2 linked regions of the Caenorhabditis elegans genome follow. The protein of the gene in region 2 purifies or fractionates together with the protein of the main gene of each other region. This does not show direct contact. Each region holds a gene or a part of one and is shown on either strand. Other genes may lie near its edges.

The links. Proteins that work in one complex are often made in the same cells at the same time.
Region 1: the proteins of nas-9 (region 2) and gtnt-39 fractionate together in Caenorhabditis elegans (co-fractionation; one large-scale study listed by BioGRID). This does not show direct contact.

What each region holds. Positions count from the first base shown.
Region 1 is NC_003282.8:4,433,082-4,437,961, reverse strand, and holds gtnt-39 (Glycosyltransferase family 92 protein), read right to left. Parts: upstream 2,929-4,880; 5' UTR 2,836-2,928; coding exon 2,699-2,835; intron 2,641-2,698; coding exon 2,529-2,640; intron 2,471-2,528; coding exon 2,379-2,470; intron 2,227-2,378; coding exon 2,036-2,226; intron 1,992-2,035; coding exon 1,894-1,991; intron 1,747-1,893; coding exon 1,594-1,746; intron 1,489-1,593; coding exon 1,385-1,488; intron 1,342-1,384; coding exon 1,075-1,341; intron 882-1,074; coding exon 644-881; 3' UTR 607-643; downstream 1-606. Other genes in the region: R08C7.8 (Serine/threonine-protein phosphatase), read left to right, coding at 3,486-3,599, 3,704-4,039, 4,096-4,305, 4,351-4,536, 4,590-4,728, 4,773-4,876.
Region 2 is NC_003283.11:4,835,365-4,841,845, reverse strand, and holds nas-9 (Zinc metalloproteinase nas-9), read left to right. Parts: upstream 1-1,843; 5' UTR 1,844-1,926; coding exon 1,927-1,993; exon of another isoform or gene 1,994-2,051; coding exon 2,052-2,245; intron 2,246-2,340; coding exon 2,341-2,522; intron 2,523-3,072; coding exon 3,073-3,259; intron 3,260-3,420; coding exon 3,421-3,546; intron 3,547-3,593; coding exon 3,594-3,819; intron 3,820-3,875; coding exon 3,876-4,005; intron 4,006-4,050; coding exon 4,051-4,120; intron 4,121-4,303; coding exon 4,304-4,390; intron 4,391-5,437; coding exon 5,438-5,809; 3' UTR 5,810-5,819; downstream 5,820-6,481. Other genes in the region: cwp-1 (uncharacterized protein), read left to right, coding at 581-646, 693-779, 1,006-1,179; C37H5.5 (Nucleolar complex protein 3 homolog), read right to left, coding at 5,912-6,083. UniProt on the Caenorhabditis elegans protein: Metalloprotease.

The sequences.
Region 1 (4,880 bases), on a different chromosome or scaffold from region 2:
ATACTTTCGTGCCAGTAAATAGGCATTCTCATGATCTCATGGTTCCGTAATATAACTTCAATAACTTTTATCCGTTTCTCTTTTCTATTGTTCCACATGTTCTGAACCAAAAGCGTGTTTTCCACGTTTTAATCACAATAATTCTTTTCTGTTTCATTGTTCCTGATAATTTATTGATGACTTCCGAATAAATTTGTTTTATCACGTATCCATGTTCGAGTGAGAAAATTCGCCATATCTTACGCGCAAAAAGCACCTGCGTCTCTTTTTCTCGCACGCTATCTAACGCCTATGCAAAACGCCTATGGCGAGAGAGCGTGTGGAAAAGAGAGAGCAGCAGTTCTCATCAAATCATGGACACGTAATACTTCATTAATTCGTACACAATTTTTCTAAGATATACTAATTGTGTATAGATGCAACATATCGTCGAACGTGTCGTGGCTTCTATGTTGAACAGTTCAAACGCGGTCGTATGCGCGCGTGGCCCAGGTGGCATTGAAGGCAAGTAGGCAGGCGTTCAGAAACCTATACAGAAGTCCTAATTCAGCTTCTAAGACTTGACGTCAAGCGCCTCGACCAAGCTGAAATGTCCGTAAGAGGTCGATCAAAAAACAAATTTATTATACCAGGAACATCTTACTTAAATTTCATTTTTAAATTTACAATCCAGCAGTTGCCTCCTGAACCTTGAACTCAACCACTCGGGAATTTCTTCGCACCTCACCATTCGCTGATCGTATACATATTTGACCCGTCGTCTCACTGCCGAAATTAATCTTTTCTCGAATGACCTGGATAGGCGGGTTTCTTGAAGTGTCCCGTTGTAGTTTTCCATCCAATTCCCATTCAGAGCCTTTTTGTCCATGTTTCGGTAGTGTCTGAAACTTTTTTTAAAATGAAAGTTTTATATGGTATTTATATTTTTTCGGAAGATCAAATAACTTTTTTTGAAAATTCAATAGCTTTTCCAAATAAAAATCTATAATTTCTCAGAAAATCGATACATATTTTGAAACATTGAAAATCAATAAATCGGTAAATTTCTCGATCATTGCAAAAAAAAGTATTCACCTGACATGCCCAAATCTTTTCGGCACCGAAACAACATTGACCCCTTCAAACTGAAAATATGACCAGTGATAAAAAAGCATGGCGACTTTTTCCGGTCGAATGATCCCTTTCAAATTGTACCAACTGATTTCAGTGGTTTTATTGTATTTCAGGAATAGCATATCTTCCATTAATTGAGCATCACTGCTATATTTTACAGGAACTGGCTCAGTTTTCAAGACTCGATTTGTGGTGAAGCTGACTTCTCCAATGTTCGGCGGGAGTCTCCTGGAAACTCACGAAATGCTGGAAAATTCTGAAACATTTTCACCTCAAATAGCTTCTCAGGTTAAGTGGTCCAGTGTATACCAGCCGCTCATCAATATCCATATTGACAACCCATTTCGAATGAAATTTACTCCGATAATGGCATTCCTGAAACAAAAATTCTTACCTACATTGTGCCTACGTGCCTAGAAGGCAGGCCTATCAAGCCTTAGGCCAGTAGGCAGGCGAGTAGGTAGGCAGTTAGGCCCTTACATGAGTTTGCAAGAGATGAAACATCCACCCGAGTCTCAAATATTCAGTGGTGTATTTTGTGGATTCAGCGATGCCTAGGCTCTCGTAGTTGTCAATTATTTTCCTGTCATACTCGTTCATGTTGAATAGGGTGAAGTAGAAATGGGACGTTCCCTGGAATGATATGTTGATTTGTGTAGGCACGTAGGCACGTAGGCACGTAGGCACGTAGGCACGTCTCCGTGGGAGGTCTAGCCCAAGTATTAATAAAACAAATGTATCAGTTCAAAACTCTAGACACTATGTATTTCTAAGACCTACCACCAATCTATAATGTTCTACGTATTCTATAATTTCCAGCCATTTGCTTTCTTCTCCATACATTGGCCCTACACAAACGGAGAGCTCGTGGAGCGGCCCTGAAAGTCAATTTTAGATATTTCAGGCTCAGTTTCAAGCTTACTATCGTAAGCCCTGTAGGTCAACGGAATCGGTTCCTGAGGCTCTTCATCTTCTTCATAGCTGACACTCACGTACTCTGCGCCGAACCTTCGCGGGCAAGTGATGACTGCTAGCGGCCATACACGAGATTTAAATCTTGCAGCGTGAATTTCGACACGGTTACAGTCGTAGTAATGACATGTGGCACGTTTTCTGAAAACTTTGGATCCTGAGGAATATTGACACCATTTTTTGCTCACTCTGTTAAATTCTAAAATACCGTAATTCAAAGTAAATCATTGTAGTTTAATAAAGTGAGCAAAATGCGTTGTCAATTTAAGCAGACCTATGTTAACGCTACCCACAGAAAAGTGTGCATTACAGTAGTGATAATGGAGATCTCGTCAGGGTACACGAAAGCGGATAGCAGGCGAGGTTCCCCATCGATCATGTTGAGCTGGAAAAATCGAAAATTCTACGCCCCAAACTCGACCAAGTAACGAAAAAAAGCTCACATTCCCACCAAATTCCGTTTTTGCCCATTCCTCGATTTGCTCCGAGTGCAAAATATTTTCAGTGGTTTTTTGATTCCAGTAGGGTACGAAACAAGCATCTCGTATTTGAGAACTATTAAAACAAATTTGAGAAATTTATTTAATATTTGAAACTTTTAAAAAACCCCTACCTATTCTGCGAGCCATTTTCCAAAATAAAAGTCCTCTCAATTACCTTAACTTGCCGAGAGTGTTGTAAAAATAACAGCAAAATCGAAAATAATAAAAATGAAACAATGAAAAATTTCCGCCGCACCACCTTTGCCATTATTTTGTTGAAATGTTCAGGGCATTTCGGGAGACAAGATTTTAGATTTTAGCATTAGATAATGACGGAAAAAATGGATTTTCGCTGGGATTTTGAGGAAAAAAATGACAATGAAATGTGGACTTGGACTGTTGTCTTATCCAAAAATGTGTATTTTTGGCAAATTTTTTTTTTGAGAAACTACAAAATGTGATCAAAATGTGATCATTTTCAGAGCCTATTTTTCATCAATATGTCAGATGACCGATTGCTTTCCGAAAGCTTTCCGGTAGGCAGAAAGTAGGAGCGCAGGAGGCATGAAAAGAAGAAATGTTGTAGGAAAGACTCATATCATGCCTACCTGCGTGCCTACTTCATACCTCCAAACTATCCTAAGCTTCTCAGCTTCAATCCTCCGTCAGTTTCTGAGCTAGTGATTTCAAATATTCATATTTTCTAACAATTAGGGTTTTGTTTGAAAAAAATTAAAAAGTTAATTAAAAGAGGTTAAAAAAAAGTAAATTAATATAAAAAAATTTAAATTTAATTTCACGTAACCACGACAAAAAAAGGAAAGAATCTTTCCGAGCAAAAAAAAAAATGTATTCCCAAGTTTTAAATTTTCAAAAGTCGACGTTCGAAGCAAGATGATGGAAAGTCAAAAAGGATACATGTACGAAGGAGAATCAGTGGTACAACTCGCCAAACGAATGATTGAGCATCTTCTGAAATGGGGCGTCACTGATGCATTCACTGACAAACAGATTTACACTATTTTGGAAAAGGTATGAACTTGAAAATTAGAGTATTTTGCGATTTCTTCTAGATTCTGAAAGTCCCACGCACAAGTCTGAGCAGATTTTGTAGTCTTACAATGATATATTTTCAGGCTGAGTCGACGTTGAAACCACTTCCAGCAATGCTCCAAGTTGAGCATCCAATCACAATTGTCGGAGATATTCACGGACAACTGGATGCTCTCATTCGTTATTTTGATGCCGTTGGATATCCTCCAAAAGTTCAATTTCTATTTCTCGGGGACTATGTGGATCGTGGAGCCAAATCATTCGAAGTGTCGCTTCTTCTTTTCTGCTACAAAATTCGATATCCTCATTTGGTGCATTTGCTACGTGGCAATCATGAATGTATGAAAATGAACCGGTTGTATGGTTTCTATGAGGAATTGACAAGAAAGAGAGGAGGAAGGATGTGGAGACAATATCAGGGAAACAGAAGACTATCCCGTAATGACGACTTTTATAATATCTCTATGCCTTTCAGAATGTTTTCAACGAGCTTCCACTCTGTGCTCGAGTTGGTCAACGGATCCTTTGCATGCACGGAGGAATCTCCCAAAACTGTAACTCGTGGGAATCATTCAAAGCTCTGAAGAAACCGAATACTCCATTAACCTGTGACGAAGGTCTTCAAGTTGATTTGATGTGGGCTGATCCAACTCAGGATAAGTGCAACACGTTTGCAATGAACAAAGTATCACAATTTCTACTATTTACATTGACGATTTGTACTTTTCAGCAGCGTGCAATTTCTGTAGTTTTCGGCCAAAAAGGATTGGATGATTTCTTGAAGAAGCTTGGCCTCTCGTTGATTGTCCGAGCTCACGAAGTGTCTCAGGAAGGATTCAACTTCTTGTTCAACAAAAAGTGTGTCACAGTGTTCTCTGCGCCATATTATTGTGGGAATGATACCAATTGTGGAGCAGTAAGTTATACGAGTTCATGATATCAATTTAAAAAATAATTTGGTTTTTTCAGATTATGCACGTCTCGGATTCTTACGAGCTATCCTTCACAGTTCTCCGTCCACGAATGATTGCAACACCAGAGAATTTTGAAATTGTAAAGCTCATGGAGAACAACTACAAAGGGCTGATGGTCGCGAGTCCAGATCCAAGTGAGTTCAAGTGCCTTACCACTGAAAAATCTGTACATTTTCAGACCGTGGTCGTCATTTGCAATCTGCTGATGTTCCCCAGCCAACACCACCGTCTGTGCAGCTCGTTCCGCCTGTCACAAAGCCAGTTGAAATTAAAAAGCAGTGATCTT
Region 2 (6,481 bases):
AGAAATTCAGGAAGCCATGGTGTCTTTTGAAACAAAACAATTACCCATGTGCCACTTTGGTATGCGGCCGCAACAAATAAAATAAAACCAAGTATACGGTTTTATTAAAAATTCACTTCTATATAATTTTGAGGAAGTTTCAGAGTTACCATTATTATAAAACACTAAAAGCTCGGCCACCAATTTTTTAAGCGGCCACGCAGAAAATACGACCTGGTCAATTACCAAACATAGGTGTCCCTGCAAAAATATACACTAGGGTAAAAGGTTTTATTGCAATTACTAGGCCATCATCGAAGACTGCCTAGTTTGGCTTGATGGATTGATGATGTGCCAAACTGATGAGCCAAACGGAGCGGGTAGCTAAGAAGAGTCATGGTTACGTACATGGATACGGAGACGTTTTATACGGTAATAATGGCTTTTCATCGGGCTCATCAAAATCTCATCATTTTCCGAATAAAACGTTGCCGTAACCAAATGAAACCATGGTGATGCGTGGTTACAAGCTCCGCCCAAGCATCGGAGCAATCCTGCCGGATTCATTTTAACTTCAATTTTGAACGAATAGCTTTCGAAAATGATCTCAAAGACTTCAATTCTTCTCCTTGGTTTTGCCTGCGCAACTGTTGGAGCCAGTTATATGGTAAGATATTTCCTAGCAAAAGTTTTAGCTAATACAAAGATTCCAGGACTCCGGCCCATTCAAATTCGATGACTCTTGCGAACCACTCGAACCACCACGCAAGCCAGAGGTCTCCGAATGCTATGAGGCACAGGTAACTTAGAGTAGCATTTAAACTATTTATTCTGCTGAAAAGGCTTCATGCCAAAGTTTAGACCTTGTTTCAAAAATTTGGCCAATCTTAGTTTTGGCACAATGCCATACTCCTAGGTCCTAGACAAACCTAGGTAAAACTTGCCTAAGTCTTGCCTAAGCTTTACCAAATTTAGGCCAAAAACCACAAAAAAAATTATATAGATTTTAATATATATTTATTTCAGCCGAAAGCATTTTTGCCAAAAGCTTTAGAGGAGTATCGTGCATTGGGATACGACTGGGGAGAGTTTGTGCATGACGACGAAGCGGATAAGGCTCCAGAAGGACTTGACGAGGTCTTCACTTACCCAATGGTTCCATTCATCGGCATGAGCCTTCTCGCCTCTAAGAAATTCTAATTGTGATTCTGTGAAAATATTTCAAATGTGGAATAAACCTGTTAACAAAAAAGTTTAATTTTGATCTTCTATATCCAGGTTTCAGGAAAAAATAATTAAACATGCAAGGACTACAAAAAAGACAGTGTATGAGCAGAATTTCAGGAATCTACGGTGTAAAAACTCGCTCGCTCTTATCAAATCAAAAAAAAAAATTGTTGAAAATGTTTTATGTAGATAACTTTCGGGCAAATTTCCAAACTGCCACGTAGCAAAATAGGCCTGCGCACTTACCCAAAAGTATAAATGTGTTTGAAATTGGGTGAGAAGGTTTTAGCTCAACTACACCATGATTAGTAGGTACATCTTCAGGCATACGTGCCTGCCCTGCCATATGTTAACTTACCGACTATTTTCTGCAATTTGGCGTAAACTCCGGTGTTAGGGTAAATACTGTATTTGATCATCTTAATTATGTACATTAGAAAGATCAACTTTAATATTAAAATTTTCACAAATGAAATCCACACTTTCTGCCTTCTACTACACACTATTTTAGTTCAATTTTCCATTAAAAACACAAAACAAACCGTTTAACCAATCACTTGTTCCATTGATCTTTGCCCACTCCATTTGCCAAAAACAAAGAAAATCTAAAAGAAACGAGTAACCGAAACAGAAAAGTGACGGCATGACTATCAATCAGTCTCCTTTTTTTTGAGAATCAGTTCATCAATTCGCGCAATTCATCATTCTGTTCAATTCTTCATGATATTTCTACTTTTTGTTGTTTTTCCATTTGTATATGCACAGCTTTTGCCAGAGTTATTAGCAGGTTTGTGTTCCAATTTCGCATTTTTGTCGGCTAACACTTTTTATTGCAATTTTTTCAGGTTTTCAGAATGGAAGGTTTAGAGGGGGACCCGATGGTTTTAATAGAGGACCTGGAGGGTTTCATCGTGGACCTGACGGCTTCGGGGGAGACCCTCGTGGCGGTGTAGACCTCGGCCACTTGATTGGGAATATTGCTGCAAATGTTGGTCAAGAAATGGGTCTAAACGATGCTGATGTTATTGGAGATTTAAGAGTAGGTTATTCACAGCAAAATTATCAGAACAGTTTACGAGAAATTCAACGTTTCTCACAGAAAAAAACTAAACAATTTTATTGAACCTTTTATAGGGAATCTCTCGAGGACCCCGACCATCATCCATGGAGTGGGGACGGCGAGCCCGGCATTTCTGCAGGAGATATCCGGGTCATCCAAAATGTCAGCGAGGACAACTTCCACAGTTTACTGATGTTCCGACTATTATCAACACTATTATCTACAACGCGGGAGATCTTCTTCCACGAGTTCCTACGTAAGTTTCAAATGTGAAGAGTTATTAGAAAACTGTCTGTTTGAAAATATTTTATTAACGTTAAAAAATCTCCTTTTTGAAATCGATGTGTAAGTCAGGGGTTTTTAGTCAACAAATTCGGAAAATGGACAAATCGCCGGTTTGCGGATTTGCCGGAAATTTTGAATTCCGGCAACTTGCCGATTTGCCGATTTACCGTTTGCCAGATATCAGATTTGCCGGAAATGTATAGACGGATTTTTTTATAAGACTGAAACACTTAAAACTGTGCCTTTTTGAAAAAAAAAAATTTTCCCGTTCACTTTAGATATTTTCATAGAATTTGCTTACTTTTGAAAATAGATGTAGGACCATTCATAGGATGCAAACAATTTGCAAACAACTGAAATTCTGAAATTTCAAAAAAGTTTGCAAATCCACAATTTGCCGATAATTTCCGGCAAATTCGGCAAATCGGCAAGATGCTGGTTTGCCGATTTGCCGGAGTTTAAAATTGTGCCTTATGCCTGCATGCCTACCTACTTTACTTTCTGACTGATCAATATTACAGCCTAAACATCCATGACCCGTTGGCTGGACTAAACAGCGAACTGGTTGGATTCATCAAGAGTCTTCAGTCACAATTTGGACAACTCAGTTCCCAACAGAGAAACGAGATTCACGATTCATGCAGATCATTCAAGTGCGATCAGCAGTCTCCTCAGAACACACAGGCAAAGCAGGAGCTATTGACAAAGGTAATTACCTAGTCTAGGGCTTCCACCCTACGTTTGCCTGCCTGGTCGTAAGCGTACTGAAGCGCTAAATTGCTAAAAAGAGGCGAGAGGCAGGCGTGAGGTAGGCAGGTTTTAAGCCGTCTGCCATGGAACCGCTAACCTGGCAAGCTTTAATCTTTCAGATGCTCGCCTTCGATCAAGCGGTTGGCGGTAAAGCTGCTCCGGCTCATGACAAGGTGAACCTCCGATTCGACAGAACTCAGCAAGTGAAACAGGCATTGCTCAAAAGAGCAAATTTGTCGCATATTGTAAGTATACCTTCTGGCAGTTTGAAGAAAATTCAAGTTTGCTTCAGATCGTTCCAGCTGACAATGGAGTCTTCGACAGAGATGTGTTGCTCACCGAGCATCAGGCTAACTTCCTGCTCAATGAGCTCGGCGAGGCCGGGCGTGGAGCAGATGTTGGAGCAGGAGGAGGTGGTGGTGGACGAGTTCCAAGATCCGGAGTTTTCTTCCAAGAAAGTGCGGTTCAGAAATGGGATATTTGGAAGCCTATTCAGTATACTTTGGATGATTCATTAGGTATAACTCTTTGTCAAATTTGAAGAAAAACCGTCAAAATCCTGACAAGTTTCCAGAAGAATCCGACAAAAAAGACATCCGGGATGCTCTACACGAAATTTCAATCAACACCTGCATCCTATTCAGGTACAATGCAACGCCAAAAGGATATCACTTGAATTATATGAAAGTTGATAGCACGACCTTGTAAGTTGACTAGAGAATCTAAGTGTGACGTCACTTCCTTTTCAGCTGCGGTCTATCCTACGTGGGACGGACCGATCCGGCCAACCCGATTTACTTGAGCTTCCAGTGTGGGGATGTACGGTTTCTTCTTCATTTTTTGGGGGAAAACACGTGGTGTCAAACTGTCCCATTTTGGTGTGATCTACAAAAAATGCGGAGAATCTTCTTTGAAATTCTTGCGTTTTTAGTAGATCACGCCGAAATGGGACACTTTGACACCACGTGGAAAGATAATGCAAATTCGATCGAAAACTTTCAGAATCGAGGAGTTGCAATGCACGAAACAATGCACGCGTTGGGCGTCAGTCACCAACACTTGAGACTCGACAGGGATAAGTATATCAAGGTTTTTAACTTTATTTGCAGTTTTTATGCCGTGGCCTAGAAAAAAATCCTCAACAGTTCCACGGCCACGTGATGTCAGAGTGTCTCATTTCGGCTTGATCTACGTAGATCTACAAAAAATGCGGGAGAAGAGACGCAGAGTTCTCAACTGATTTCGCATGGTTAAGAACGTGCTGACGTCGCATTCCGTTGGGCAGAAAATTCCCGCATTTGTGGTAGATCAAACTGTAATGGGACAGCCTGGCATCACGTGCGGCCTAGTTTTTTTTTCTCGGCCATTTAGAAAATGTGACCGTCTTTGAGTTTCAAGAATTTTTCGTGACAAGACCCACCGCACCTTTTATAATGTAATATCACGAAATTTTAAAAACATTTTCTCAAAGGCGCACGGGCTCAATCGGATGGGTCTCGCCACGAAAAAATTAATGGCTGAATCCTATACTGTTCATTTCATTTTGGAGACGCAGAAAAACGCGCATTTTGAAAATTGAGGAGCAAGCGCGCTCCACGGCCAAGTGAAAACTGTCCGCCCCCAGGAGTTGGGTCTCGTTAGGTAAAACCGTAACTTCAACTTTTTTCAATAATATTTCGAATTTTTTACTATTTTTTCCGTTGTTTTGTTGACTTTAATGTCGAAATAATGCAAAAAAAATTCATTTATCAAATTTCAAATAAAATTTTCATCAGTTAAATAATTAAAAACAACTGAAAACTTAACGAAAATATACGAAAAAAATATTGAAAAACCGATGAAATCTGGAAGAAAAGAAATTAAAATGGCAATTCCTAACGAGACCCAACTTTTGGGGGCGGGGAATTTTAGTTTGACCGTAGAGCGCGCCGGCACCTCGATTGTGCTTCTCTAAGTGCCCATAATAATAAAATGAATAAAAATGCCCGCCAAAAAACTCAAAAAAGTGCTACCATAACATTTTTCGTGGTGAGACCCATCCTAATGAACCCATGCGCCTTTAAGCAAGAATTCCAAAAATTGCCTCTTGTTCGCGACGAGACCCAGCCGATTTTTAAAAAATTTCAAAATTTCCAGATCGACTGGTCAAACATCGACCCCCAACACTATGACACATTTGCGATATCCGACGCGAAACTGTACACATCCTACGGTACCAAGTACGCCTACGACTCTATAATGCACTATAACGCATATCTCGGCGCCAAGGACCCCAACAAGCCGACGATGATCCCGTTGGTGAATCCACAGGAGAACACCCCGAAACTGGGTCAACGAGCCAAACTGACCCGCGGCGACATCCGGTTGCTCAAAAAAATGTACTGCCGTCCGGGATGTGACGATCAGAATGTGCACTGCGGCACGTGGGCTCTGCATGGCTATTGCAAGATGAAGGAACAAATGAAATGGATGAATGAGAATTGTAAAGCTAGTTGTGATAAATGTTGAGGATTCTCTACTTGACACACAAAACAAAATTCATAGTGAAAACTTAACAGTAACAACAAATAACAAAAATTCGGATTATCATTTAAACAATATTTTAAAAAATTATTTCGATGCTGCCAGCCAGTTGGAAATGTGGAAGTTGATGTTCTTTGGAGTAACCGATTGATTTCTCTTCTTGGCAGCCTTCTCCAGATCATCCAAATACTTGCTCTCAACCTTGTCATAGGCATCCTTCGCGTTATCCATCAGCTGTCCCATCAGGATCCATGGTTTCCTGGAAAATTAAATATTTAGAATGTCTGGTGAATTTGATAACTAGGAGAGGTTTTGTTAATATCGCTATTTATTAATACAGCTATCTGGTTTACGATTATGCGAAATTTTTAAATCGGCAAATTGCCGGAATTAAAAAATTTCTGGCAAATCGGCAATCCGGCAAATTGCTGAATTTGCCGGAAAAACGGCAATTGCTGAGAATTTTCGGCAAATTGCGGTTTTGCACATTTTTTTTTGGAAATTTCAGAATTTCAATTTTATTCATCAAAACTGTACGCATCCTATGAATCTTCCTACATCTATTATGAAAAGTAGGCAAAGTCGATGAAAATATCTAAATGAAGCGGGAAAAAATTTCAAAAAGGCACAGTTTTATATGTTTCCGTCGTATAAAAA